Cricetulus griseus: one gene and its partners. The protein of the gene in region 3 interacts with the protein of the main gene of each other region in a pairwise test. Links are inferred from orthologs where the notes say so. Each region holds a gene or a part of one and is shown on either strand. Other genes may lie near its edges.

Region 1 (3,500 bases), on a different chromosome or scaffold from region 3:
TGAGTGCTAATTTTATGTGTCGGCTTGATTGGGCTTTACATTGCCCAGATGCTTGGTTAAACAGTGTACTTGTGGGTGAATGAATGGCAGACAAATACATTGTACTCCTGTGGTAGGTGGATCTCATCCAGTCACTTACAGAACAAAAAGACCCAGGGGGAATTTCTAATGCATGCTTTTAACATACTTTGTTTGGTTTTGGTTAGTTCTCCTACCTTTAGGTTTGATCCAAAGTGTCAGCCTTCTAGGGCTTTGGAACTACAATTCTGGGTCTCTTCTCAAATTGCTAACTGATAGTCATGGGATTCCATTAATTGCATGAGCCAATTCCTTATAGTAAATCTTTCTTTTTAAAATATGATCTCTCTCTCACGTGTGTGTGTGTGTGTGTGTGTGAGATATTCTAGCCTTCAAGTGATTATACAAGGCCCACTTATATATACACACAAATACATTTCCTGTTGGTGTTGTTTCTCTTGCAAAGCCTGAAACACTGTTTAACACACATTAGTTTTTGTTTGTTTAAAATATTGGTGGTTGTTTGTTTAATTTTGTTTTGAGACAGGATCTTGCTGTGTTGTCCTGGCTGGTTTGGAACTTGCCAGCCAAGCTAGCCTTGAATTCCCAAAGATCCTCTTGCCTCTGTCTCTGTAGTGTTATGATTAAAGGCATGTGACACCATGCCAGGTTTGTTTTAATGTTTTATTTTATTATTATTATTATTATTATTATTATTATTATTATTATTATTTGGGTTTTCAAGACAGGGTTTGTCTGTGTAGCTTTGGATCCTATCCTGGCACTCGTTCTGGAGACCAGGCTGGCCTCGAACTCACAGAGATCCACCTGCCTCTGCCTCCTGAGTGCTGGGATTAAAGGCGTGCGCCACCAATACCTGGCTGTTTTAATGTTTTATAATGAAAAGTTGGGCAATTTAAAATAATCCATTCAAACCTCAGTCAAAAAATATTCTAGCTCATACCTGACCTGTTCTACCATGTGGTCAATGGGTGTGTTCTCCTTGCTCCATTGTTTCTTCTGGTCCCCAAAGTTTGGCATTTCCAGGAATGATAGTAAAGGGTGGATGATGGGTGAGAAGAGAGAATGAGGGTGGCATCTTTCTTTCTGGTGCTGCTGTATTATAGCACTGGTGCCCTTGGTGGGGATGATGTCCAAATATAGCCTGCTTTTCTTCATGGAGTGTGTGTGTGTGCACACATGCACATGTTTAGTTTTGTCCTTTCTCCTAAATGGGGACCTTTAACAACACAGCATTTATTTTGTGGGCAGTGCATTTTACCACTAACTTCATATGAACTCTTCTCCCACCCTTAGGTGCTGTACTGCTGTGGCCCTCCAGCCGTAGACAGCTTTTTGTTGTTGTTGTTTTCATGTTTTTAATCTCTCGTCCAGTATTTCTAATTGGCCAGAGTATATTCTTACCCTATCACAAGACAAAGGGGCAGGCTTCTCTTGCTGCCCATTTCTTCTTCTCCACTGTGATGTTCACATATGGCCCAGTTCATCTTTGCTATGTGACAGACATCTTCTAAAACTTAGTGACTTAAAGTACCCTTTAATAGCATCATGCTTGGACAGTATATAGATCTGCTGATATTGGCCATAAGTTGATAGTGTGTCACTAGAGCTCTTCTTGTGGAAGATGAGTGAACTATAAGCGATGGGGATGAATGGGCTTGCACAGTTCTACCTGGAATTGGCCATGTGGTGGCAGCAGAGTGTAAACAGTGATCTAGACCACTTAAGAACTATTTCCCCCTCTGCCTAGGCATGGTGGTGCTCACTTTTAATCTCAGCACTAAGGACACATAGGCAGGCAGATCTCTTTGATTTCAAAGCCAGCCAGGGCTGTTATACAGAGAATGCCTGTCTTGAAAAAATAAAAACAAAACAAGCAAACTTTTTTTTTTTTTTTAAAGACTCAAACTGGCATGACATTTTTTTTAGTAAATTCTGTGAACCAAAGATAGACCCTAAACCAGCTCAAGTTCAAAGGGTAAAAAAAAATCTCTCCATTTTGGTGGGAGAAGCTGCTTCCTGACATTTGGTGTCAGGGGAAAGAAGGCTGTCTCCCTGCTTTGATTCATAACTTGGAGGAAAATGTTTTTTTCAATTAATTGACATTAATAGATGAGTTTTTAATAGAAGTGAAATGTTGAAACACAAATGAATCCAAAACAAAAACTTGCTTATGAACAAGCATTAGAAGTCAGATTCTCAGCACCTGTTTGCTGTAGCTTGCTCTGGCCAGATGAGAAGAGCAGTGTTTGCTCCTAGCTCTAGAAACCCTGTGCAGATACTCTGAGAGCCCTATCTCAGGGTTTTATAGCATTTGTTGAGAATTATTGGACTGGCTCGTCAGGACTTCTCTGTAGAATGAGTGGGGTTTAATTAGTAACTATCTTTACTTGAAATTTCAACTGAAATTGTGAAACAAATAGAAAGATCCCCTTAATATCATATTTAGCTTAAATATGAGGAGACAGAGTTAGGGAATCATTCAGGGTTAGATAAGGATGTCTAGATGGTTATTAATCTGTGGGATTATAATAGATGCTAACCGCTTTCAAATCTAAATTAATTTATTTAGTTTTCTTTAGAATTTGTATATCTATGCTGATGAGACTTCATTACCACAATATTTACAAATGTCTGAAAATGATGCCATGTTGACATCTGTGCACGCCTTTCCCATCCTCACTGTGTCAGACTCAGATATTTTAACTACAAACACTGTCTGTGTTTACAGGTGCTGTGCAGCATCAATTCAATTATCCACAATCCTCGAACTCCAGTAATTATTTATAAGCAGAGAAAGGGAGGAGCCCAAAACTTGAATAAAGATACTGTTCAGGACTGTGGATTTGAACATCTTATTCCTATAATAGAAACGTGGGCAGATGAACTGACATCCTTAAAGGTAAATAGCTGAATATTCTTTACATGTTTTGAAAATCTGTTGGACTTGGGCTTTTGTTGTTGTTTAACTGTAAAGCTAACAGTACTTTGCTAAAATTGGAATGTTGCTGCCACTTACATATTTTATTTTATTTTATTTTTTTTGAGACAGAGTTTAACTCTGTAGTCCTGGCTGGGCTGGAACTCTGTATATAGACTAGGCTGTCTTTGAACTCACAAATAGCCACCCGTTTCTGCCTCCTGAGCACTGTAATTAAAGGCATGTGCTACCATACCCAGACTTACGCATTTCTAATCCTGTAAATTTGTTGTTATTGTTAAGCTTGCCTCCTCTAAAGCTCTACCATAGAGGATTTTTAGACTTCACCTCCCTGAGACTCTGGATCCCTCTCTGTACATCCAAGCTCTTCCATGCTCTCCCTCTCCCTCCTGCTGATACCTTTGCTGCACATGTCCTGACCTTCGCACGGGCTCAGATGTAGTGTCTTATCCTTATTTTAATCTTCACTGGACTATTTTTCCTGTCTTCACATTTTATATTTCTTTCTCAGAACTGAGTT
Region 2 (3,198 bases), on a different chromosome or scaffold from region 3:
ACTCTGGAATACACACTTCATGTGTCCAATCACAGGGTTCACATGGCACCTGGATCCTTTAGCAAAGAGGTTGTGTGCTAGTGAGAGGACAGAGTAGGTAATGTTTCAACACTCCTACTACAACAACCAAAATCAAAATTGGTTAGGACAGTTACCTGGAAAGGCAGCCAGCTGCCCCACCCTGTCTACCCTTCTCATAGATGGTGTCTGTGAAAGTGCACATGTGTGGAAATGGGGACAGCTATGCCATTTCAAGTGTCCTTCAGGCCACTTCACAAAATATCCTTGAAGAGAGTGGACATGGGTGACCCTTTAAAACATTCATCTTCTTTCCTTTCCTTATCCTTGCAAATAACCAGTCTTGTAGCTGTGGGTCACACACACCTGTAAAGACACCAGTAGGGAGGCCAAGGCAGGAGAATTTCTAGTTTGAGGCAAACTTAGACTCAGATCCATACAGTGTCTCAACCAATAAACAAATGAATAAATATATAAACATCTCTCCTTGTAAGTTTTTTTTATTAAAATACTGTCATACCCAGTGGAATGCAACAGCAATCCTGGTACAGGGTGGCGTAACAAAACAGCCATGTTTACACTTTAAATATTCATGATAACTTAAACACACAGACACACGTCATGGTCTTTGGCAGAAAATGTTCACAGCAACAAAAAATACTTTAAAGAAATACCAAATATTAATCCAAAATATATTAAGTTGTTTTTTTTTTCTTTCACAATTTTTTTTTGCCTTTTTTCCCTCCTTTTTTTTTTTTTACTTTTATCTTTGTAAACAATGCACATGAACCAGATGTATTTTTTTAGCTTTACACAGGGGTAGGGGAATTAAAAAAATATGCAATTGCCCAGCAAATGCAAATGTTTAAAAAGGAAACTCAGAGAACCATGGGAATAAAACAACAAACAGAACTTGAAAACAGTGAAAGAAAAACAAACAAAACAACCAAAGATTCAAGGAGAAAACACAAAAGCTCTGAAACCCACCAATCGCTTTTTGAGCTGAATGGGGGTTACTTTAAGACCAAAGTCAAAGTCACTGCTGCTGGTAGGCTGCCAGTTGGGGATACTTCACCCAATTCCAAGTAGTTGGCCCTGCTTCAGGGCTGGGGCACCAGAAATTGAGGAGCCAGCCTCGTGGGTGCCGTTTTTGTGACGGGGCACCACAGTGAGGACTTTTGTCTTTTTAAGCTCACTGATCCATTTTTCAACAGCATAGCTTCCTCTCCCAGTCCCTGCCGGTGGGAACTAACACACTTATGAGAACAACCTCTCCAGTTTCTTCAAAGAGAACCTGGTGCTGGGCATGAAAGATGTCCACATGTGGCGGCTCATTGCATCTGGCTCAGTTTATAACCAAACGGACAGGATGTCCCAGGGACAGGAGCTGTGGAGCCATTCAGAAAGGCTGGTGACAAGAGTCCCATGGGCACTGAACACAGGGGTTTAAAATGGAGAAAGGGCAACCAGTATCAAATTCCATAGCCAAGTACTGGAGGCGGAAGAACATCTGGTGGACCCATCAGATGTTTCAAGAACCGTGGCAGCGGGGGCAGGCAGCACAGCCCTGGAAGGAGACTCTGAACCAGCATGCTTAGTCTTCTGTTCCCAAGGAAGGAGAATTATATACAAAACACACTGTTCCGCAGGCCTCTCAAATGGCCTCTAACCTTCTCCAAGTGAGAGGCATGCTGGTGGTTCCCAAAAGACTCACACTCCCAATAGTCCCAGTCTTAGTGATCTGAAGAAGGCAGTGAGGAAGTGAAGAGCAGATGGGATTGGCTGGGGCCTCGATTAACCACAGAACACCATGGCTGGCCTGGTTATTCCAGCAGACCACCAGATCGGTGCTCAGCCATCCTTGGGAATCAGAATCCACTTCCCTTTCCCTTCATGCCTGAATACAAATGGGCAGGACAGAGGGGGCTCAGCTCCTTTCTCCTCCAGCAACAGACCTTGGGCAGCAGGGGAAATCTGGCTCTTCCCTCCTCATGAGCATGGGAGGAATATGGGCCAAGAAGCAGTCTTCTGGGGCTGCAGACTTTTCTAGGTCCCCTCTAGGGTTCCTCTCTGAGCTTCATGCACCACACTATCAATGGTTGGAGAAAGTGAGGCGCAGCATTTGACGACCGCTGGAATGCCAGGGGGAAGCCAGGCGTCAGGGTCCCCAAGGCACCACCTCTTTCCTTCAGATCAGTATTTCCACCATGTCTGACAGGTCCTGGACTCTGGTAGTAGCCACAGAGTCTGGAGAAAGACAAGACAACAGGTCTATGCTGTGAGTGTTATCCACTTGTTCTATTCAGCTCAACACATTTTAAGTAAGAAAGGATCTTTCTTCATCAGATTCCCTCCCCTAATCTGTCCCAGTCCTCAGATTCCTCTTAACTTGGTCAACTAAGCCCAATGCTCTGCTCCCTCCCGTCGGCTGGGGCCTAGATGGCTCAGGAAGTATGCCTGTGTTTAGACTCTGAACTGGCTAGAGTGATCAGTGGAGGGGTGCCCCCAGGGTTAGAAGCAGGCTGTAGCATTCTTGTCATGCCTGTGGTTTTCTGAGATCATGAGGCGCACACAGGCAGCTATGCAAGGGTAAATGTGAGATCAGACTAGAAGGAAAAAAGGCTTCTTCTCAAGTTCCTCTTTTCTGGGCTCTTCCAATAGCTTCCCAACTCAAGATCACCATCAGGGTCACTTGTCAAGCTCCATGATCTTAGAAATCTGGACCAGCAGGATATGTGAGGAAAACTCTGGAGGAGGCACAGTGCCTTCTGATGAGGCGCTTTCTTTCTCAACTATAGGTCTGCCTCCCATTGAGGGTTTCATGCCTCCAACAACCCTTGGTTCATACCATGGGGCTTCCCATGGAGGATGAGTTTGGAGAAAACACGTGTTCCAGTTCAGCCCCCATCTAATATACGGGTCAGGGGAAGTGGGGGCAGGGTGCTTACCCAGAGAGGCTGTCCTTTGGCTGCTACACCCCAGGAGGCTCTCGGGTTCTGAGGCTAAGCAGGCAGAGGTGCTGTCTGCAGGGCCATCAGTCTGAGTGCTTCCATCTCTGCTCCCGTGCTTGGTGTGGGTAGGGAGAGGAGCTGTGGCCGGGGGCTCCTCTGCCGGTACACGGTCTGTAGGAAAGAAAGGAGGGTGATGGATACAACAGGATATAGAAGACAATGTCCCCGA
Region 3 (2,750 bases):
TTCTCCCCAGAACCACCTAGAAATAACAGCAATCACAGGATATCCTACAATTAGAAAAGCGAGGTAAAGAAATGGAAGAAGTCTATTTTTAAAGAAATGAAGGAAGTGTAAATGTCCTGAGATAACTCTGCAGGGTATCATGAAGCCTTATTTTAAGGATAAAGAAGCATACGTACACAGATTACTTCTAGAGTATGAAGCAGTAATTATGGACACATCAAGCCCACACACTAAACCCACTGGAAAAGATTTTCCATTGCAGTGCCCTCCCACACACACACACACACAACACCAGGCTAAGAAATTTGTTCCATGTGAGGCAGTTAAAGTCCTGAGGTATTTGTCCCTGGAGCCAAGCTCATGGATTGGCAGAATGGAATATGGGTTCGAGCTCAGAGAGCAATATAAGGAACTATATATATCTAGCCTTCTCATTCGCCATTTACATTCATACTCTACTTGTGTTCAGATGTAGAGACACCACCATTAAAGAAACACAGTTCAAGTCACTCAGGTTTAATGACCATTGGTATTACCATAAAGATAGCACTTTTGTCCCATTCAAGTCTGCTCATGAAGATAATCAGGTCACCTCTGCCCATCCAAAACATTGTTAACTGAAGTCTTCTGTACCCCAAACTTTTGCAAAATAGATCTCCATAACAAAAATAGCAAAAACAAAAAAAAATACATATTAATGTTCCAACATTGGTCTTTTAGGTCCAAAGGTCTTTATAACCAGGAAGAGCAGACTAAGCAAAGAAAAGAATTGGGCAACTGATACTGCTTTGACCTCAGTTTTCTGAGAGCTATCTTTCCTTAAAGGAGAGAATTAACCTTTGCCAACACTCACAGGGCGCAAAGTATTTCAACTGAATGTCACTTTTCCTGTGAGGGTCATAGCAATCTTTTGGAATCTGCAGCAAATTACCTCCTCTTTCCTGTCCCTGCAAAAGCAAACAGCTGGGAACTTATCATGGCAGGAATTCCTTGTGTCCAAGGAGGCTCCTAGCTTACTGTCTGAATGCTCTGTAAGAAGCTAGGGTTTCATTTCTTAATTCAAGTTCAATGTTGATGGAAAGACAGTAAAGTCACTGACTCTCACTCTCGGGCTGACCTTAGGCAGACAGCTTGAGCAAAAGAGGTTTCTTTTTAATCCCGTCCTGGCCCATATCAGATCACTTGGGAAATCTCTGAGGTCACATCGGTGCTCAGGACCCTCTCTAGGATGGTCACGAATGGTGGGCTGGTCCCTGGAACCAAGGTTCCAAGTTCTGGGATGAACTCTACCATGCCACAGCCCTTTGGACAAACCTTTACTATTTCTAACTTCCTGGTCTCTTTCTAGCTTGATTTTATGTCCCCAGAAAAATTAGGACAAAAGTAGACCAGACTCTGACAAGAAATACACACATAGTTATTGTGTATGTTCCAAAGTCAGATGAGCTCCTCTGGGAGTGACATTACTCCTAACTCCGAGCTAGGAGCATAATAAAACATCTTATTCCTAAAGACTCTCACCACTTCCCTAACTTGCACTTCTTAGCCCCAGCCTCTCTCCCTACTCTGCTCCACATACACACCCCCAGAAGATGCTGTCTCAACACCTGCAGTATCCCTAGAGCCCAAGAATAGGGTTGCATTAATGGCACTTGGCAGAAAACCCCATCCTACTTTGAACTGCTGTGAGTTCAACACAGTGAAGAAATAAGTGAGAATGTGAGAGACGAGGCGTAAAAATCTGAGCCTGCCCTTCCCACATAAAAGAGGCACAGAGATCTCAGGAGTTGGCAAAAGGCATCATCTCTTGCCAGAAGGCCACCAGCCCCCGCCACTTGGGAGCCGCATTATCACTTGCTTCTCCTCGGGACTGAAGTGTAAGATAGTCAGGATGGCTGTGAGCGTCTGCTGGCGGCCCAGGCTGTCCGGCAAGGTCAGGAAGCGGTAGATGATGTTTTTGAGATACTCCAGGTTGGCTCCTTCCCTGCTCTGGTCCCTGATGTTCTTTTCAATGTGGCTCTGGAGTGCTCCAACCTCCTCTCGGTGCCGCTCCCCCTCCTCCAGTAGCTTTTCCTGCAGCTGGTGGGCCTCCATCTCCAGCCTGTGTTTCTGCTTCCTCAGTGAGGTGATCTCCACCTCCTTTCGGGCCAACTGCTCAGCATAAAGGAAGAAAGTGGGCTCATTGGCTGCAGCGAGCTGCAAGGCTTGGGTCAGGCTATCTGAGGAAGCTGTGTCAGCAGGGTCCCCAAGACCTCCACCACCCACTCCACCCACAGGGCTCCTGCGCCCTGGCAACCCAGAGGACAAGGCCACGGAACGCAATTGCTCCAGCTCCAAGTCCTTCTCGGCAAGCACGGCCAGGGCCCGGTCCCGCTGCTTATGCAGCTCCTCCTCCAGTTTCAGTGTGCGGTCCCTGAAGTCCAGCTGGCTATGCTCCAGTTCCTGCCGATGGAGCTGCTGCAGCCGGGCCAGCTCCTGCTTCCAGTCCTCAGCCTCCTGCTGGTGCTGGCTTTCAAGCTCCTCACAGGACAGCCGCAGGGAGATATACTTCTCCTTCAGCTCAGCAAGCTGTTCCTGTGCTGCCTCCAGCTCCTTCGCCAGGCTCCCATCTTTGGTATTCTTGTTCTTGAGCACGACCTGGGCTCTCATCTTGTAGCGCTCAAACTCTTCCTTCAGCTGCTTCAGCTCCTGTTGGTAGTAGAGTGCAGTAGCCTTTTCCCCATCAGCAGCCTCTGAGCTGGGCATTATCT
Region 4 (3,500 bases), on a different chromosome or scaffold from region 3:
AGTTGTGAGCCACCATGTGGGTAACTGGGAATCAAACCTGAATCCTCTGGAAGAGCAGCCTGTGCTCTGAACTGCTAAGCCATCTCTCCAGCCCTGTTTTTGTTTTTAATTAATAATATTTTTTTTACAAAGCTGGGAACCAAACTCAAGTTCTTGTATAGGCTAATCAGTTACTCTATCACTGACCAATCATACACTAGCTCTCTTTCATTTTTTCTCCTGAAGCAGGGTCTAAGCAACCAGGCAAGCCTAGAATCTATACTATAGCCCAAGCTAGCCTTGAACCCTCCTGTCTCGGCCTCCCCATGCTGAGATCACAGCTATGTGTCACCTTCCCAGCAATTATTTTGGTTTTATGAGACAGTCTCAGGCAGACGGGGCTGGCCTTTCTCTTTCAAGTGCTAGAATTACAGGGATGTGTCACTCCATCTGGCTCACTCTTTATTAAAAAAGAATTATTTAAATTTTTTATTTTTTGAGACAGGATCCTCTCTATATAGCCCTGGTTGTGGTGGAACTCACTATGTAGACCAGGCTGCCTCCTGAGTGCTTCGAAAACACCCAACCCCCCAACACACACTCCTTTTGTTTTGTTTAATAAGAACTCCTGAACCAGGCTGTGGTGGGACAACCCTTTAATTCCAGCACTTGGGAGGCAGAGGTAGGCAGATCTCTCTGAGTTCCAAGCTATTCAGGACTACAAAACAACAACAAAAAAGGAAAAACTCAGTAAAAGGGCCAGGTGTTCTTCCAGAAGACCTGGGTTTGGTTTCCAGCACCAACATGGTGAATCCAGTTCCAGGGGATCCAAGTGCCCTCTGCAGGCGCCAGTGATGCTTGAGGTGCATATACATGAAGTCAAGCAACACACACACACAAAATAAAAGAGATTAAGAGCACTGGCTGCTCTTTCAGAGGTCCTGAGTTCAATTCCCAACAACCACATGGTGGCTCATAACCATCTATGAGATCTGGTGCCCTCTGCTGGTGAGTAGGCAGAATACTGTATACATAATAAATAAATCTTTTTTTTTTTTTAAAAAGTAAATAAACCTTAACAATATAAATAAAAGAACTGTACCAAGTGATGGTGGTGGTGGTGGTGGTGCACACCTTTAATCCCAGTACTCAGGAGGCAGAGGCAGGCAGATCTCAGAGAGAGTGTTCCAGGAAAGCCAGGGTGACACAGAAAAACCTGTCTTGAAAAATAAAAAAAAAAGAAACAAACAAACAAAGAACTCCATAAGCACAAAGCAGGCAGGAAAAAAGACTGGGACCAGGACATGGTGGTTTAGACTGATCTTAGCACGTGGAGGCTGAGGCATTTACAGCACTGAGCACTTCACTGCTAACCTATCCAATCTTCACACCCATTGACAACAGTTGCTGTCACCCCCACTGGGCAGAAACACAGTGTACAAAAGTGCTGGCTTGAAGTCACTTAGCAGAGATGGAACTTGAGCATTTTGGGGTATCTAAATCTCTAGGCCCTTTCCCCCAGAGTTGCAATTAAGAGGAAGAAAGTTAATTTCTATTTGGATCTTGTGCTCTCTTCTGAACAGATGGTCTATTCACACAATCCAAAACTCAGAGGGTATAGAAGCAAAATGCCTCCCGATTGTCATCCTGTTCCCAGCTCCGAGTTTGTCAGTCATCTCAAACATACTCTACATGTATTGTACACACACTACCCTACCCACAGTGGCACAGTGATAAGCTCTTCTGTACTTCCACAGCCCAGGGGCTATATCCCCTCTATCAGCACTTGGCCAAGGTTACAGCCAGCTGAGGTCATAGCCTGCTTCTAGGTTTTGCATCCAGAGCTCACTTGTGCAGCCCTCAGTTACCCAGCTGTGGACTCTTCCCCAGTTTGCTTCTTCCAACCTCACAACAAAAGCAGCAACAAACAGCTCATGCTAAATTGTCAGCAGCAAGGCACTAGACCATGCAGAAAAGTCCTGTAAGCTCACTGTCTACCAGGAAGCTGCTGATGGCCAGACAGGCAACTTGTCCTACCTTGTCCGCCTGTTTCTGTTGCGTTGACACAGTAGACAGCGTCCGCTCTAGCTCTCCCACACGCTGTCGGGAAGACTGCAGGCGGCTGGCAAGATCCTCTGACTCTCCTGAAATGAGAGCCGTCTACATGGAGCCCCAGGGACCCTCCCTCAGGCCTGCCAAGGCGTCAGCACAAGGCTGAAGAATGCTCTGATCCTACCTGCTTTCTGCCTGGCTGCTTGCTGTGTGTGAGCCAGGGCTGTCTGTAATTCTGCCTTCTCAGACACCAGGATGCCTATGGTCTGAATGTGAACCTTTGGAAGAAAAGCCCCCAAAAGTGCTGAGAGGAAGGAGAGATGCTCTCTGGGGGACATAGGGATATCACACAGGCCACTCACCTGCAGTTGTTCCCTGAGAGCTCCCTGCTCCTTTGCCAGCTTCTGCTGATAATCCCTCTTCTCCTGCAGGCATGGGAAATGCAGTTCTTAGCAGGGAAGCAGAATCCCAGCAATGGACGAGCCCCAGAAAGCCACCAGTGGCCCAGGACAGGTTATCAAGGATCCTATGGAGGACACCCTGTGGGGTGAGTCTTCTCCAGGATAGAATCAAGCAAGACCAAAATCTGCAACTCTGAGGCCTCCCACAACCCCATCAGCCATGAAAAGAGCAAACACAGAAACCACAGTACTTTTTCCAGTTGATCCAGAGTGTCTTGGTTCTGTTGTTTCTGTGGGAAGAGTCAAAGGAAGGTGACTGGGGCTAGCCCCTTTTATGCTACCCCATACCAAGACAGAGCAGGGGGATGGATTTGAAAAAGGTGCTCAGACCCCCATGGGCACATGAACCAACAAACTTCCCAAGCTCCCAACAAACTACAGTCTGTGTCTTGGCTGCCTCTCATTCACAACTATACAACAGAGGTTTAAATCTGGGTCCAAGTTAAAGGACAGTAACACTAGAAACGAGTTTGAGAAAGAAGACTACCTTCTGCCAACTTGGGGACTTGGAACAGTGTGCTGAATTAAGAACTGACTGTATCTTGCATAGCCAAGAGAGGAATGGGAGAGCACTTGGTTCTGACAATTCAGTAAGCCTTTAAACTCTTGCTACTTAAGAGTGGAAAGAGGTCTCTGACACTCTCCAACTCTGCCTCAACAGGAAACTCAAACCCAGGGAATGGTGTAACCAAAATCAAAGAGCAAATCAGGACCTAAGCCAGGGCAGGACATGGGGCTCCTGACAACCAATCGGGTTTGTGATCTCTTCCACTGGAGGCACCAAGCTCAGGACAAGTGGGGTGAGGACTCAGGCTAGGAGTCTGGAGTACAGAAAAGAGGTGGAGAGCAACGAGAAGAGCCATGCTGCATGCTCTATGCTCTGGCTGCCTCCAGCTGAGACTGAGGCCCCCAGGTTTCCCATTGCCCCTAGGTCCCAGGAGCCCCCAGTCTCTCTCTTCAGAGCCCCAAGGGGAAACTGAAGCCCAGGACTGGCAGCAAGAATTGGGG
Region 5 (3,500 bases), on a different chromosome or scaffold from region 3:
ATTATCTGCTCTGATACTCTTATTACTAGAAAAAGATGCAAGAGTTGGAGTCTAAACTTCATGAAGAAGAGCAGGAAAGGAAGCGTATGCAGGCACAAGCAGCAGAGGTAAGTGGAATGGTGAACAGTTAAATAAGTGTTTCAGTGGTGAACTGTTACATATGAGCACACCAGATCTACATGTAGACCTCAAGAGATAGCTTAGTATTGGAAATTAGGAATGTAACTTTGCAAAGTAAAATTTGAGCAGTTCTTTGGATGTTTCAAATTATGAAGTCTGGATTAGTATTTTTAAAACCCATGAGGTTGGAGCTGGAGAGATGGTACAGAGATCAGAGCATGTGATTGTCCTTGCAGTGGACCTGACTGCTTCTCAGCAACCCACATGGTGGCCTACAACCATCTGTAACTCCAATTCCAGAGTCTGACAGTATTCTAATCCTTGGGCCCAGGCACATGCACGTACATAAATGCAGGCAGTTTTGTAATACATAAATCCATGCACATAAAATAAAAACCTGTGAGGTAAAAACATGTCCAACACAGAAGTCTTAGACTCTGTAAGATAAAGTTATTTTGTATTTTAACAAGACACACTTTTCTCTATGGTTATTTGCTCAGATATTTCCTAGTCTCTCTTTTCTATCCTCTTTAAGATTATGCTTATGTTTGTAGCTTTTATCATAGTAACCCAAAGGTCCTGATCTGAGAAGTTTGCAATTAAGCAATTAAGCCTATGGCATCTGTCTAGTGTCCTGCATTCTCACAGCTTCCGATGCAAATACTACAGTCTCTTTCTTTTATTGCTTCTTTGAGTCACTGATTGTATATGCCTATTTCTTATTAAACCTGATATGATTTATAGATTTACTTTTCTCTGTGTGCTTACTGAGTTAAATGGTCACTTAACCATTTTTGATCTTTAGTGAATTTGTTGTGACTTTAGGGAAAACTATTTTAAGATGTCTCTATTCCTTACATGTAACATTGCAAAAGTATGAGGTTTTCTTTATTAAATTATAGTCTATAGTCCTTATATGCTAAATAGAAAGTTTCACAAATTCATTGATTGATGAATTCTTACCAAGTTCTGATGATGAACGCTATGGTAGTGGAAGGCAGGTGGTGAATAATGATATTTCTCTATCTTGCTGTTCTGAACAGAGTATTTAGCCATCCAGATCCTGGATTTTATAGTGCTAGGGAAATCAAACAAGAAGTGATCAAAAGTAGCCCTTAAGTAGTTCATTTGTTACTGTTGACACTTGTTGACAGTGTAAGTATTCCAGAAGGATAATACCCTGTGGAATTATGTCTAGTGTGTCGTGCTTCTGAGGATGGAGAGTTTAGCATTCTACTGCCAGGGACTATGCTGTCCTAAGAGTGCATGAGATAATGAAGGGATGTTTTTAGTGTTCCTTGCATTTCATTCATTACTGTGCTGTTTCTGAAAACTCAGTCATGATTTCTGGGAAACTTCCCTCATTGTGAATTTTTAAACTCTTTGGGGGGAGGAAGCTGGTCATTAGAATTTTTACCAAACTCCAGACTATTTTTGATGTATAGAAAGATAACCACTTTCACAGATTTTTGGAGAGTGGGGCTGTTGAAAAATAGTTTAGAGAAAATTGCAGCTTCCGCCTCTGCCCCCCCCCAAGATTTATTTTTATTTATATTGTGTTTTGCTTACTTGTCTGTATAGAGCACAGTCAGTTTAGAGCTACATGCATTCCATTTCATTCCTGAAGTAGAATCTGCAGAGTAACTACCAGTAGTAGAACAGTGCTTCCAAGCAAGACATGATCAACTATAGATCAGCAGTTCACATAAATGAGAGACTGAAGACATACTGTATAGTCATGCCATTGCTTTCAGTGAGATGACTACCATTGTAGTTATAGACTTATTTATATGGCACCTCAAATGTGGATTGTAACTTTTCTCTTAGATCATTAACTCTGTTTTTTTTTTTTTTTTTTTTTTTTTTTTTTTTTTTTTTTTTTTTTCTAGTTGCAGACTGGTCTAGAAGCAAATAGACTTATTTTTGAAGATAAGACAACTTCTTCGTATGTTGCAACCAACACTAGAAAAATTAAAAAAAAAAAGTCAAAACCACCAGAAAAGGTATGAAAATTGAACTAGTTAGTCTTACCAATTTTGTGTAATAATTTGTGTAAACAACACTCAAGCCATGTGGTATTAGGATCTTGGGAGAGTGAGTCTTTCATTCTTAGTTTCTGTACTAAAACCTGAAGATAAATAAATTTTACTTTTGAATACTTAACCCTGGTAGTGAGGGCCCATATGAAAGCATTGGGAATTACCAAAGAACATACAACTGGGAATATTCAGCTGTGTTCACTACCTTTGACTCTTAAAATGCTTCTTGAATACTGTTCCTCTACTTAACTCTTGATAACTGTTTTGTTAGTACTCTGCCTTCCAAGCAATATTATGAGTCCCAATATAAACAAGTGTTATGGTTTAAATGTGAAATGGCCCCCATTAAGTCACTAGAAAGCAAGCCTTGAGATTCTGAGCCTGGCCCACTTCCTGTCCTCTGTCTCTGCTTTCTACTGTTTGGTACAGTCTAATGAAAATCCACCCAACCCAGACTACTGTTGCCATGTGTTTTCCATGATGAGTTGTATCTTATCAAACTGTGGGCCAAGTAAATCCCTTCTTAAATAGCTTCTTGAAGCCTTGTTGCTATTTGGTCACAGTAGCAAAAAGGGACCGGTGTAGCTAATTATCCAATCAGTAGTTTCACGGTGAGCTGGAATCTTGGGTTAGTTCACCAAATTAAATGAAATGGCTTTTTTTTTCTCCTTCTAGAAAGGTCCTAGGAACTATTTTGGTGCACAGCCACATTACAGATTGTGCTTAGGCGATATGCCCTTTGTTGCTGGAAAGGTGAGTTATAGCTATTGATACTTATTTTTAAATTACTTCAATGTCTTTTTTTTTTTCTTTTATGTATATGGGTGTTTTGCCAACCTATATGTCTGTGTACCATCTGTTTAATGTCCACAGAGGCCAGTAGAGGGTATGGGATCCCCTAGGACTAGTGCTCTAGATGATAGTCAGCTGCCATGTGGGTGTTGGAAATTGAACCTGGAATTCCAATGGAAGATCAGCCTGTGTTCTTAACTGCTGAGCCATCTCCAGCCTGTTTCAGTCTTTAGAACACATTTTAGGGGTTATAAGCAGAATTTGAACTTTAAAAAAAAAAAATCCTTCTGCCTCATCACTTCTGGGATTATAGGTATGAACCACCATACCTGGCTCTAGGAAAACCTTTTAGAAGGCACAGCCTACTATTTATAAAATCAACTCAAGGAACAAGTTTTCTCCTGACTTTGTATAAGCCTCTATAAGTATGGTTGTGAAGTTATTTTTTGTTATATTTTGATTAGTGTGTTTATTAAAAACATTGTTTTCATTGTGAAAAAATGAGGGGGCACCAATGCATGTGGAGAGGTCAAGGTACAACTTGAAGGG
Region 6 (3,524 bases), on a different chromosome or scaffold from region 3:
CACATTTATTTTAGGAATGAATATTGTGTTCTTGCTGTTTTTCTTTTTTTAAAGTTGGGGTCTCGATTTGTAGGCCAGGCTGGCCTGGAACTCACTATGTAGAGGAAAGCCGGCCTTGATTTCACAGAGATCTACCTGCTTTTGCTTCTTCTAATGCAGGGATTAGAGATATGTGCCACCATGCTCAGCTTTTGTTGATTTTTTTTTTTTTGTATTTCAAGTGTATCTGTAGAATATAATCAAAGCTGAAAACCAGGAAATCTGTTTCAATGATGTCATTTTTTCTGCCTATGAAATGAATGCCTTATGTGGATATGTGTTAAGGACAGGCTTTGAAGATACTGCATCAGAATATCAAGTAAGGAGTTGCTCTCTTTTGCTGTGTTTACTATGTGAGATTTGATACATTGTTACTTACTGTAAGTGTGGCTTTCCTACTCTTAATAAATGTGCTCTATTTTTATGTTTGTGCTCAGAAAAAAAAAAAAGAAAACACACTGTGATGATGCAAGCCTTTAAAAAACACTTTATTAATATGTTTCTCACAACTAGGGGAATCTTATTTACCAAGTAACAGAAAAATCCTTATTTTCCAGAAGGAAAAAGCACCAAGAAGCATGGCGCACCCTAACTGCTGAGTGCCAGGACTACTGGTTTCCAGAGTCTCTGAGCTCTACATCACCTGAACCTAAAGTTTTCAGAAATTCCAAATCCAGTGACTCCTGAATGACACACAGCAAACACTACTACTCCTTATACATACACACTCCCTTAGCTTATCAGCATAGACATTCCCTTTCAACTAAACAGATCAAGATTAAATACACAATACCACCTTTCATGAAGCAAGATGAGTAATTCTGAAGAAGAGCAAACATGAATGTACTGGTTGAATCAGTAATCCATTCTTTGTTCAGATGGCTTCTGGTGTCCAATAATACTTTAAAACCATTCTTCATTTATGAGAGAAAAGTACGTACAGTCCCCTTGATTGTACCCCGGCAGATGGGGCACTTTCTCAGAGAAGGGGCACATTCCTGGCAGACTACCAAATGACCACAGGGAATGAACACAATAGAAACCTCTCTGTCCATACACACTTTGCAAGTTCGTTCCTCTTGCAACCTCCGCAACTGCTCTTCCAGCGACAAGCCTAAGAAAGAACAAAAAAGAACATTAGTAAAATGCAACTTCTAAAAAGTAACAGAAATAATGTTGAAGTACTAACTGTACTTTACCTGAAACATCTTCTGTTGGAATATACTTCATATTCTTTTCCACTGAAAAAAGAAAGCATACAAAAATCATTCATTTTTTCAAATCTACTGTTTTTATATAGATTTTTGCTACATATTACAAAGAATACTACCTAGACAGTAAAATACACCAGTATTTTTGGAACAGGTAAAATGTAAAGATTACAGTTTTAACTGGATTTATTCTGCTTGCTCAACAGAGAGATGAACAAAACCCTACTGGTAACTAAATAATTTCCCTAACAAACTCACCAAATAAGTTTTCATATAATGTGGAGTCGATTTCCTTTAGACAGTTTTTGAAGATGTTGGCTGCAGCATTTCCTTTGACTAAAACGGTGTCAATCAGCTCTCTTGCTTGTAAGGGTATCTGTGTTTTCTGTCTAATAATATCATGTTCCTGTTTAGTAATTACACTGGCCTCAAGAAGATTATCCAGGATAGGAAGGACACAGGTCAACTGCTGAAAGAGAGCCATTCTATTCTTCCGTATTAATGACAAGTCACCTTCAGTTAAAAACAAGCAAGGAAAAAGTTCCGTTAAATGTCAAAGGCCCCAAGTATACCCAATGACCCCTATGCACAAATTAGGCACTAAATGGAGCTTGAAGGGGAAGGAAAATGACTTGTTTGCACCTCCATACTGCCATCATAAACTTCCACATTAAATTCAGATGTCCCACACAGCACAAATACTTTCAAGTCTAAATGCTAATGGACCTGGACCCATGTCTGTAAATTGTTGAGAACAAGCAGAAAACTTTAGAGAGTAGTAAAACATGTGCCCTCTTTTTCTTTCTCTTTCCCCACAATGGAGTTAAAAAGTAATTTATTTTTATCTGTATTATATCTCTTTATTGGTTATAAGTACAGGCACACAAACTGTCACATTCAAAATGTCAGTTAAATAAGCCAACTATCTTCCAGAGAGGGAGCCTTAGAACAGCATGAGTGGCTTGTCAAAGACCACAAAATGAGTTGCCAAACCAGTCCTAAACTAGTTGAGTTTTTTGGTTTGTTATTTACTGAGACAGGACCTTATGTATCCAGGCTCCAAATGGAGCCAAGGATAGCCCTGATCCTCATGAGTATCTTCTAGGTATTGGGATTACAGGCATGAACCATCAAGCCTGGTTTACACAGTGCTGATGTCCTTTCTGAGACTCCACACCATCTATGAACTACAGCACTCAAGAGCTTAAGCGACAAGTCAAGATGGACTTTGCTGGCCCAAAGGCAAGTCTAGACACTTCAGCCATGTCCCCCTGCTATACACCTCAGCTTTCCAATCTGAAATATGAGTAACAACACCTTCCTTACAGAGTTCAATAAAATGCATTTTATTACCTTACATTACCTGGTGCATCTTGTAAATCTAAATTTATAGTGCAGCTTTAAAAATTGAATCTAGCTTGTTCATAACAGATAACCTCACTTCAGAGGTAAGAAACCTTAAGTTTAGTTGAATGAGCTGCCTACCTGCTAACCAAAAAAATGCCAGAACTTAAATGTAAATGTGTATCAATCCAGAAGTTAGAATTTTAAACATTTTGATATATGGTCATACAATAAGGCTGTCCTGAACTAGTTAGTCCTTAAAAAAAAATCATTTTCTTCCTTGGGGGGTGGGGGGTGGGGGATGGGATGCCACCGTGTGGGTCCTGGGCATCAAACTCAGCCATCAGGCTTGGTAGCAAGTACCTCATTGGCCTGAACTATTTCTACCTTTATTTAAGGACAAAAGTGTTTTCTAACCTAATACCTCAATTTACATTACACATACAACCTTCACGTCTCTGACAGCTTTTAAGTTTTTTGTACCGTGTGTGTGTGTGTGTGTGTGTGTGTGTGTGTGTGTGTGTGAGAGAGAGAGAGAGAGAGAGAGAGAGAGAGAGAGAGAGATTCAGTACCATGATGTGCATATAGCCATCAGAGGACAACCTGCAGGAGCTGGTTCTCTCCTCCTACTGTGTGCATCTCAGGTACTGAACTAAGGTTATGAGGGTGGACAGCAAGCACCCTTTTCCACTTAGCTGTCTTGCAGGCCCTCTGCTAGCTCTCTGATTCTGTCTTTTGAACCAAGTTTCCCCAGCTTTTACATGTTCCTTGAGAACAATCATCACTTTCACATTATTTACCTCTGCTGTTTACATATTTAAACATATGAAAATATTTGTTGAAAATGTAATTACTCAGAAGACATGTTCTGGGAGGTTAAGATGTTAAAAAAAAAAAAGTACACAAATATCAAAATCATTATATACTGTC
Region 7 (4,116 bases), on a different chromosome or scaffold from region 3:
GACATCCACTTTCTGCTGCAGACAACCTTGGCCAGGATACTGAATCCTGTGCTATCATAAGCCACGGGTACTGCTTACCTGGGGCCTCACTGGGAGCCAAGTTTGGCTGAGTATAGGGGCCTATTCCAGGTCCCACAGAGTCTCCATGTGAGTGCAGCAGGGCCACATCCACACTGGGTGGTGTCTTGGTCTCAGATCCAACTTGGGTTCCTCTGGCCTGGCAGAGCTGAGAGGCAGCTCCAGTGGTGTTTAACTCTGAGCTCTGGGACAGCCGTGGTGACATCTCCTTGCCCCATGCCCATTTCACTGCTAATGCACTGTCCAAAAGGAGAGCTCTGCAGCTGGAGTCTGTGTCCATGGTGAAGTCATGGCCCTGGTCACAGCCCCACACAGCCTGGATGATGCCACAGTACTCAGAGGACAGTGTCCTCTGGAGGCTGGGCAGAGACCCACAGTTGGCTGCATGTTCATGTACCCAGCCCACCAAGCTGTGCAGACACCGAGGGCTCGAGGTGATCAGATCAGCTGAGGAGAATCAATAGAGATGTCAGTCTCATGGTGGCCAACACTAGGCCCAACCTGGAATACCCACCCTGGCACGAACAGCACTCACCCATACATGCTCCCTCCTCTGCCACTGTGGGAGGCTGAACACCAACCCTGCAAAGCATCAGTGTGGCCACAGTTTAGGAGCCTCTCAAGGTCACAAACCTCCCCAGGAGCCCTCCACTTCTAATGATAGCTCTTCACCCTCAGACCTCTGCAAACCTCACTGCAGCGCCATGAGAGGCTTATACTGGCTTCTGTCCACCCCACAAGTCACTGCCCTACATCAACACCCAGAACACAGGATGATGACCCCAGAAGGTCCCAAGAAATCCAACAAGGGCCTACTTTGTACAAGGCTTCCGCTGGCCAGCCGGGGAGACATTGACTCTCTGTAAGAAGGACCTGAGAAGGCTGTGGCACTGATAGAACTGGGTGTAGCAGTTCTTGCAGACAAACTGAGGCAGGGCTGGGTCCTGGTGCACAGCAACACCCAGCAGACGCTGGAAGTCCCTAATGAAGACACGCTCCCCTGGGGACAGTCTCTCTGAGGTCTCCCCAGGTACTCTGTCAGAGATACTGCGGAGGCTCCGTGAGGAAAACTTCCCATGGCAGAGGCGACAGTGCCCCATGGCAAGAGTTCGGCCTGCTCCTGAGCAAAGAAGCAAATGTGACAGTAAGTAAGATACTTACAATGTAAGGACCACACTTCCCACTAGCCTCCCAGCATCTAAAGCAGAGAAATGCCCTCCATGGGCTTCCTAAACACACTAACAGCAGGGCTCAGGAGCTGGCCTTCCTCACTGAACACTCAACTTTTGGAGGGATACTGTTAATAAATCTTTCAAATACTTTTTGAGGTGGGGTCTCACTGTGTAGCCCAGATTGGAGTACATAATCCTCTCCCTCAGCCTTCCAATGCCACTGTGCCCAGCTCCTTTCAAAGAACCCCAGATGCCTCCAGTGAAGATGAAACTTAACTTTTGCTCACACATCCTGATCCTGAAAATGTGTCTCAGCTGTGCCTCAAGAAACTGACTTACTGCCCATCCACAGGTGCCCTGTCTGCAGACTGTGGACAATGCCACCTCATTGCCTGCCCCTAGGGGGACTAAAGAACAGCATGCATAGGAAAGTCATTCTCAAACCGTTGAAGAGCACTACATAAATGTGACACGCACTGATGCTGTTACCCTAACCAGCTGCTGCTTATACACAAACTCTCGGCCAGACAGGGAACAAGTAGTTCACTTAACTGAGTAGCCACCACAGGTTGTGAGTCTGTTTCAACCAACAAGAAACTGGGATTCAGAGAAGTTAAGCAATGCACCCTAAGAGTAAATGGCACGGAGCGCTGACTTGAAGCCCCACACCTGTCTGACTTCAAATCTTAAGCACTAAATAGCAGCGACACAGGGCAGGAAAAAATCGGCTGTCTGGCCAAAAGTCGCTGCAATAGAAGTCAGAGGGCCCGAGTCCTCCGGAACTTGAAGGCCTGGTTTATTCTCAGAATCACTAGGCTCACATCAGGGCCAGAGGACGCCCGGAACCCACCTGCCTCGTCGGTACCGTCCTCGCCTGTGTCCCCGCAAGAGCGCGTCGAGCCCCAGCTGAGTTGTGCTGCCGCCAAAGCCGCCGCCCCATCAGCGCTGGCTGCGCCGGTGCGAGAAGGGCGACCCCGAGTCCGACCGCTTCCACAGCTGCCGCCCGAACTCCCGCGCTGCCGAGCCGTCCCAGGCGACAGGAAGCGGCCAAGCCGGTCCCGCTTCATGGTGGCGGCCGCCACTTGATAGATTCCTGCTCCGTGCTATTCGGTGTGGCTCGGCCCACTCGGTTCTGCTTGACTGGACTCGACTCCACTCACTCAGTACCGTTCGTTCGGCTGCACTCCGCCCGGCTACTCGGCTCCGCTCGTTTCACCGCGATCTGAGCGGAACGAAGCGAGGGGTGGAGCGATGTGAGAAGCGGCCCCGGAGCGACTGCGGCCGCTGTTGTGTCGAGAGCCCAGAGTTCTTAGGGTCGCTCAGAACTCGCGACAAGCCCATAAAGGAGGGGCGGCAGGGAGGGTAAACTGCCACGGACTGAGGCACGGGCTGTGGCACTTAACAGAAAACCGCAAAACCAGAGATTCTTTCCCACCAATTATCTGGTCAAGACTCAGAGCAAGTACGCCCTGAATAGCTGACAAGACCCACCCGTCCCCTTATAATCTCTAAACCTAGATCTGCGCGGCGGGGCGGGGCAGACGGAAGTGTGTCAGGGTCCCTTCCGGCAGTGTGCTGTTCCCGCGGCTCCCTCAGCTGCGCACCCCACGTTCCGGTTTGGAGGCGCCGGCCCCGCCCCTGTCGCCGCGGCCTCCCCCGCCCGGCGCCATGGCCGCTGCGGCCGGGGACGGCGCGGCGAAGCCACTGCAAAGCGCCATGAAACTGGCCAACAGGGCCATCGAGCTAGACACCGGCAACCGACCCCGGGTGAGGCTGGGAGGGGCGCGGCAGCAGCTCCGGGAGGAGGCACCTGGTCCGTGGTGGGCAAGGGCGGGCGTGTGAGGGGATCCGCGCTTCGGACGCGCGCGACAGCTGTGGGACCCCGCCCGGGGACTCTCGGCCGGACGGGCGGCTGTGGGTGCTCTGCGGGGAACTCGGACAGCTCAACTAGCACTTGGTCTCAGGTTTATCTGTTCAATGAGTCGGTGAAATAGAGCTGCGGTTCTCTTTGCAAAGGACCTGTGAAGCAGCCCTCCAGGATGTAGATGACAGACGTGTGTGTGTGCTAGTGTGTGTGCGTTCTTGACACTGTATAGACTTAATCCAGAAAACACTGACTGTTGGCTCCTTATGCTGCTGTTTGCAGTCGCCTTCAAAGGTCATCTGTAAAGAAACGCAGGCACAGAAGGGGTGTGGCCTGTCACTGAGGATGAATGCTAATTAAAAGGATGTCAACTAGGTGGAAGAGCTAGCTGAGCTACCCTTGGAGAGGAAGAATCAGTGTCTGTCCAGTTCCCCAAGTTGGTTTTCTAGGGCATCAGGTGCTCCCCACAGGACCAAAATCCTACCTGAAACCCATTTAACCCTAATCTGTGAAGTGTTGAGTTAATTGAAGGTGGGTAATTTGACAATGAATAAAACAAAACACATACATTCCAGAGTGCATTCTATCCTGAGCTGTCACAGAGCTAAGGGCAGAGGGGTCACCCAGTTGAAACCTGCAACTCTGGAGTCTGGAGAGTGTTGTTTCTCACAACATAAGCCACGATGTGAGATTGAGAGATGAGCGTTTATTCTCTCTAAGACTTCCAGGAAATATTTTTCATAAGACATGGAAAAACTACTGATCTTTGAGTTGCACAGGAAGGGGACTCTGTTATACAGAGTGGGAAATGGTGTCACTGCTGAGGATGCTTTACCAAGCCTCATGACTTAAGCTCCAATGTGTCTAGCTGGGAACTCCCTAATGCAAAAGTTGTAGGCAGAAATTCCCTGATTTTGTTCTCAGATGCAAACATTTTTTTCCTTCAAGTCTAGACAGTGGGGATACTGCCCCTGTCCTAGGTGGACCATCACTGAAGTCTAG

Evidence for each region.
Region 1: the proteins of Gcc1 (region 3) and Cep70 interact in binary tests that used the Homo sapiens proteins (3 or more experiments, as listed by UniProt). The two-hybrid records come from large-scale screens. The link is inferred for Cricetulus griseus from reciprocal best matches to the Homo sapiens genes GCC1 and CEP70.
Region 2: the proteins of Gcc1 (region 3) and Amotl2 interact in a two-hybrid assay, tested with the Homo sapiens proteins (2 studies listed by BioGRID and IntAct). The two-hybrid records come from large-scale screens. The link is inferred for Cricetulus griseus from reciprocal best matches to the Homo sapiens genes GCC1 and AMOTL2.
Region 4: the proteins of Gcc1 (region 3) and Golga2 interact in binary tests that used the Homo sapiens proteins (3 or more experiments, as listed by UniProt). The two-hybrid records come from large-scale screens. The link is inferred for Cricetulus griseus from reciprocal best matches to the Homo sapiens genes GCC1 and GOLGA2.
Region 5: the proteins of Gcc1 (region 3) and Cep57 interact in binary tests that used the Homo sapiens proteins (3 or more experiments, as listed by UniProt). The two-hybrid records come from large-scale screens. The link is inferred for Cricetulus griseus from reciprocal best matches to the Homo sapiens genes GCC1 and CEP57.
Region 6: the proteins of Gcc1 (region 3) and Birc2 interact in binary tests that used the Homo sapiens proteins (3 or more experiments, as listed by UniProt). The two-hybrid records come from large-scale screens. The link is inferred for Cricetulus griseus from reciprocal best matches to the Homo sapiens genes GCC1 and BIRC2.
Region 7: the proteins of Gcc1 (region 3) and Znf276 interact in binary tests that used the Homo sapiens proteins (3 or more experiments, as listed by UniProt). The two-hybrid records come from large-scale screens. The link is inferred for Cricetulus griseus from reciprocal best matches to the Homo sapiens genes GCC1 and ZNF276.

Annotation. Positions count from the first base shown.
Region 1 is NC_048597.1:207,720,005-207,723,504, forward strand, and holds part of Cep70 (centrosomal protein of 70 kDa), read left to right. Parts: intron 1-2,770; coding exon 2,771-2,941; intron 2,942-3,500.
Region 2 is NC_048597.1:210,972,776-210,975,973, reverse strand, and holds the end of Amotl2 (angiomotin-like protein 2), read right to left. Parts: intron 3,141-3,198; coding exon 2,967-3,140; intron 2,266-2,966; coding exon 2,207-2,265; 3' UTR 501-2,206; downstream 1-500. UniProt on the Homo sapiens protein: Regulates the translocation of phosphorylated SRC to peripheral cell-matrix adhesion sites. Required for proper architecture of actin filaments.
Region 3 is NW_023276806.1:199,375,520-199,378,269, reverse strand, and holds the end of Gcc1 (GRIP and coiled-coil domain-containing protein 1), read right to left. Parts: coding exon 1,801-2,750; 3' UTR 501-1,800; downstream 1-500. UniProt on the Homo sapiens protein: Probably involved in maintaining Golgi structure.
Region 4 is NC_048599.1:144,032,367-144,035,866, reverse strand, and holds part of Golga2 (golgin subfamily A member 2), read right to left. Parts: intron 2,723-3,500; coding exon 2,684-2,722; intron 2,457-2,683; coding exon 2,394-2,456; intron 2,310-2,393; coding exon 2,216-2,309; intron 2,124-2,215; coding exon 2,017-2,123; intron 1-2,016. UniProt on the Homo sapiens protein: Peripheral membrane component of the cis-Golgi stack that acts as a membrane skeleton that maintains the structure of the Golgi apparatus, and as a vesicle thether that facilitates vesicle fusion to the Golgi membrane.
Region 5 is NC_048597.1:127,272,900-127,276,399, reverse strand, and holds part of Cep57 (centrosomal protein of 57 kDa), read left to right. Parts: intron 1-29; coding exon 30-107; intron 108-2,009; coding exon 2,010-2,123; intron 2,124-2,834; coding exon 2,835-2,912; intron 2,913-3,500. UniProt on the Homo sapiens protein: Centrosomal protein which may be required for microtubule attachment to centrosomes. May act by forming ring-like structures around microtubules. Mediates nuclear translocation and mitogenic activity of the internalized growth factor FGF2, but that of FGF1.
Region 6 is NC_048597.1:122,200,282-122,203,805, forward strand, and holds the end of Birc2 (baculoviral IAP repeat-containing protein 2), read right to left. Parts: intron 1,764-3,524; coding exon 1,509-1,763; intron 1,281-1,508; coding exon 1,239-1,280; intron 1,154-1,238; coding exon 960-1,153; 3' UTR 501-959; downstream 1-500. UniProt on the Homo sapiens protein: Multi-functional protein which regulates not only caspases and apoptosis, but also modulates inflammatory signaling and immunity, mitogenic kinase signaling, and cell proliferation, as well as cell invasion and metastasis.
Region 7 is NC_048596.1:199,920,088-199,924,203, reverse strand, and holds the start of Znf276 (zinc finger protein 276), read right to left. Parts: upstream 2,801-4,116; 5' UTR 2,318-2,800; coding exon 2,101-2,317; intron 1,199-2,100; coding exon 895-1,198; intron 661-894; coding exon 614-660; intron 526-613; coding exon 79-525; intron 1-78. Other genes in the region: Vps9d1 (VPS9 domain-containing protein 1), read left to right, coding at 2,919-3,017. UniProt on the Homo sapiens protein: May be involved in transcriptional regulation.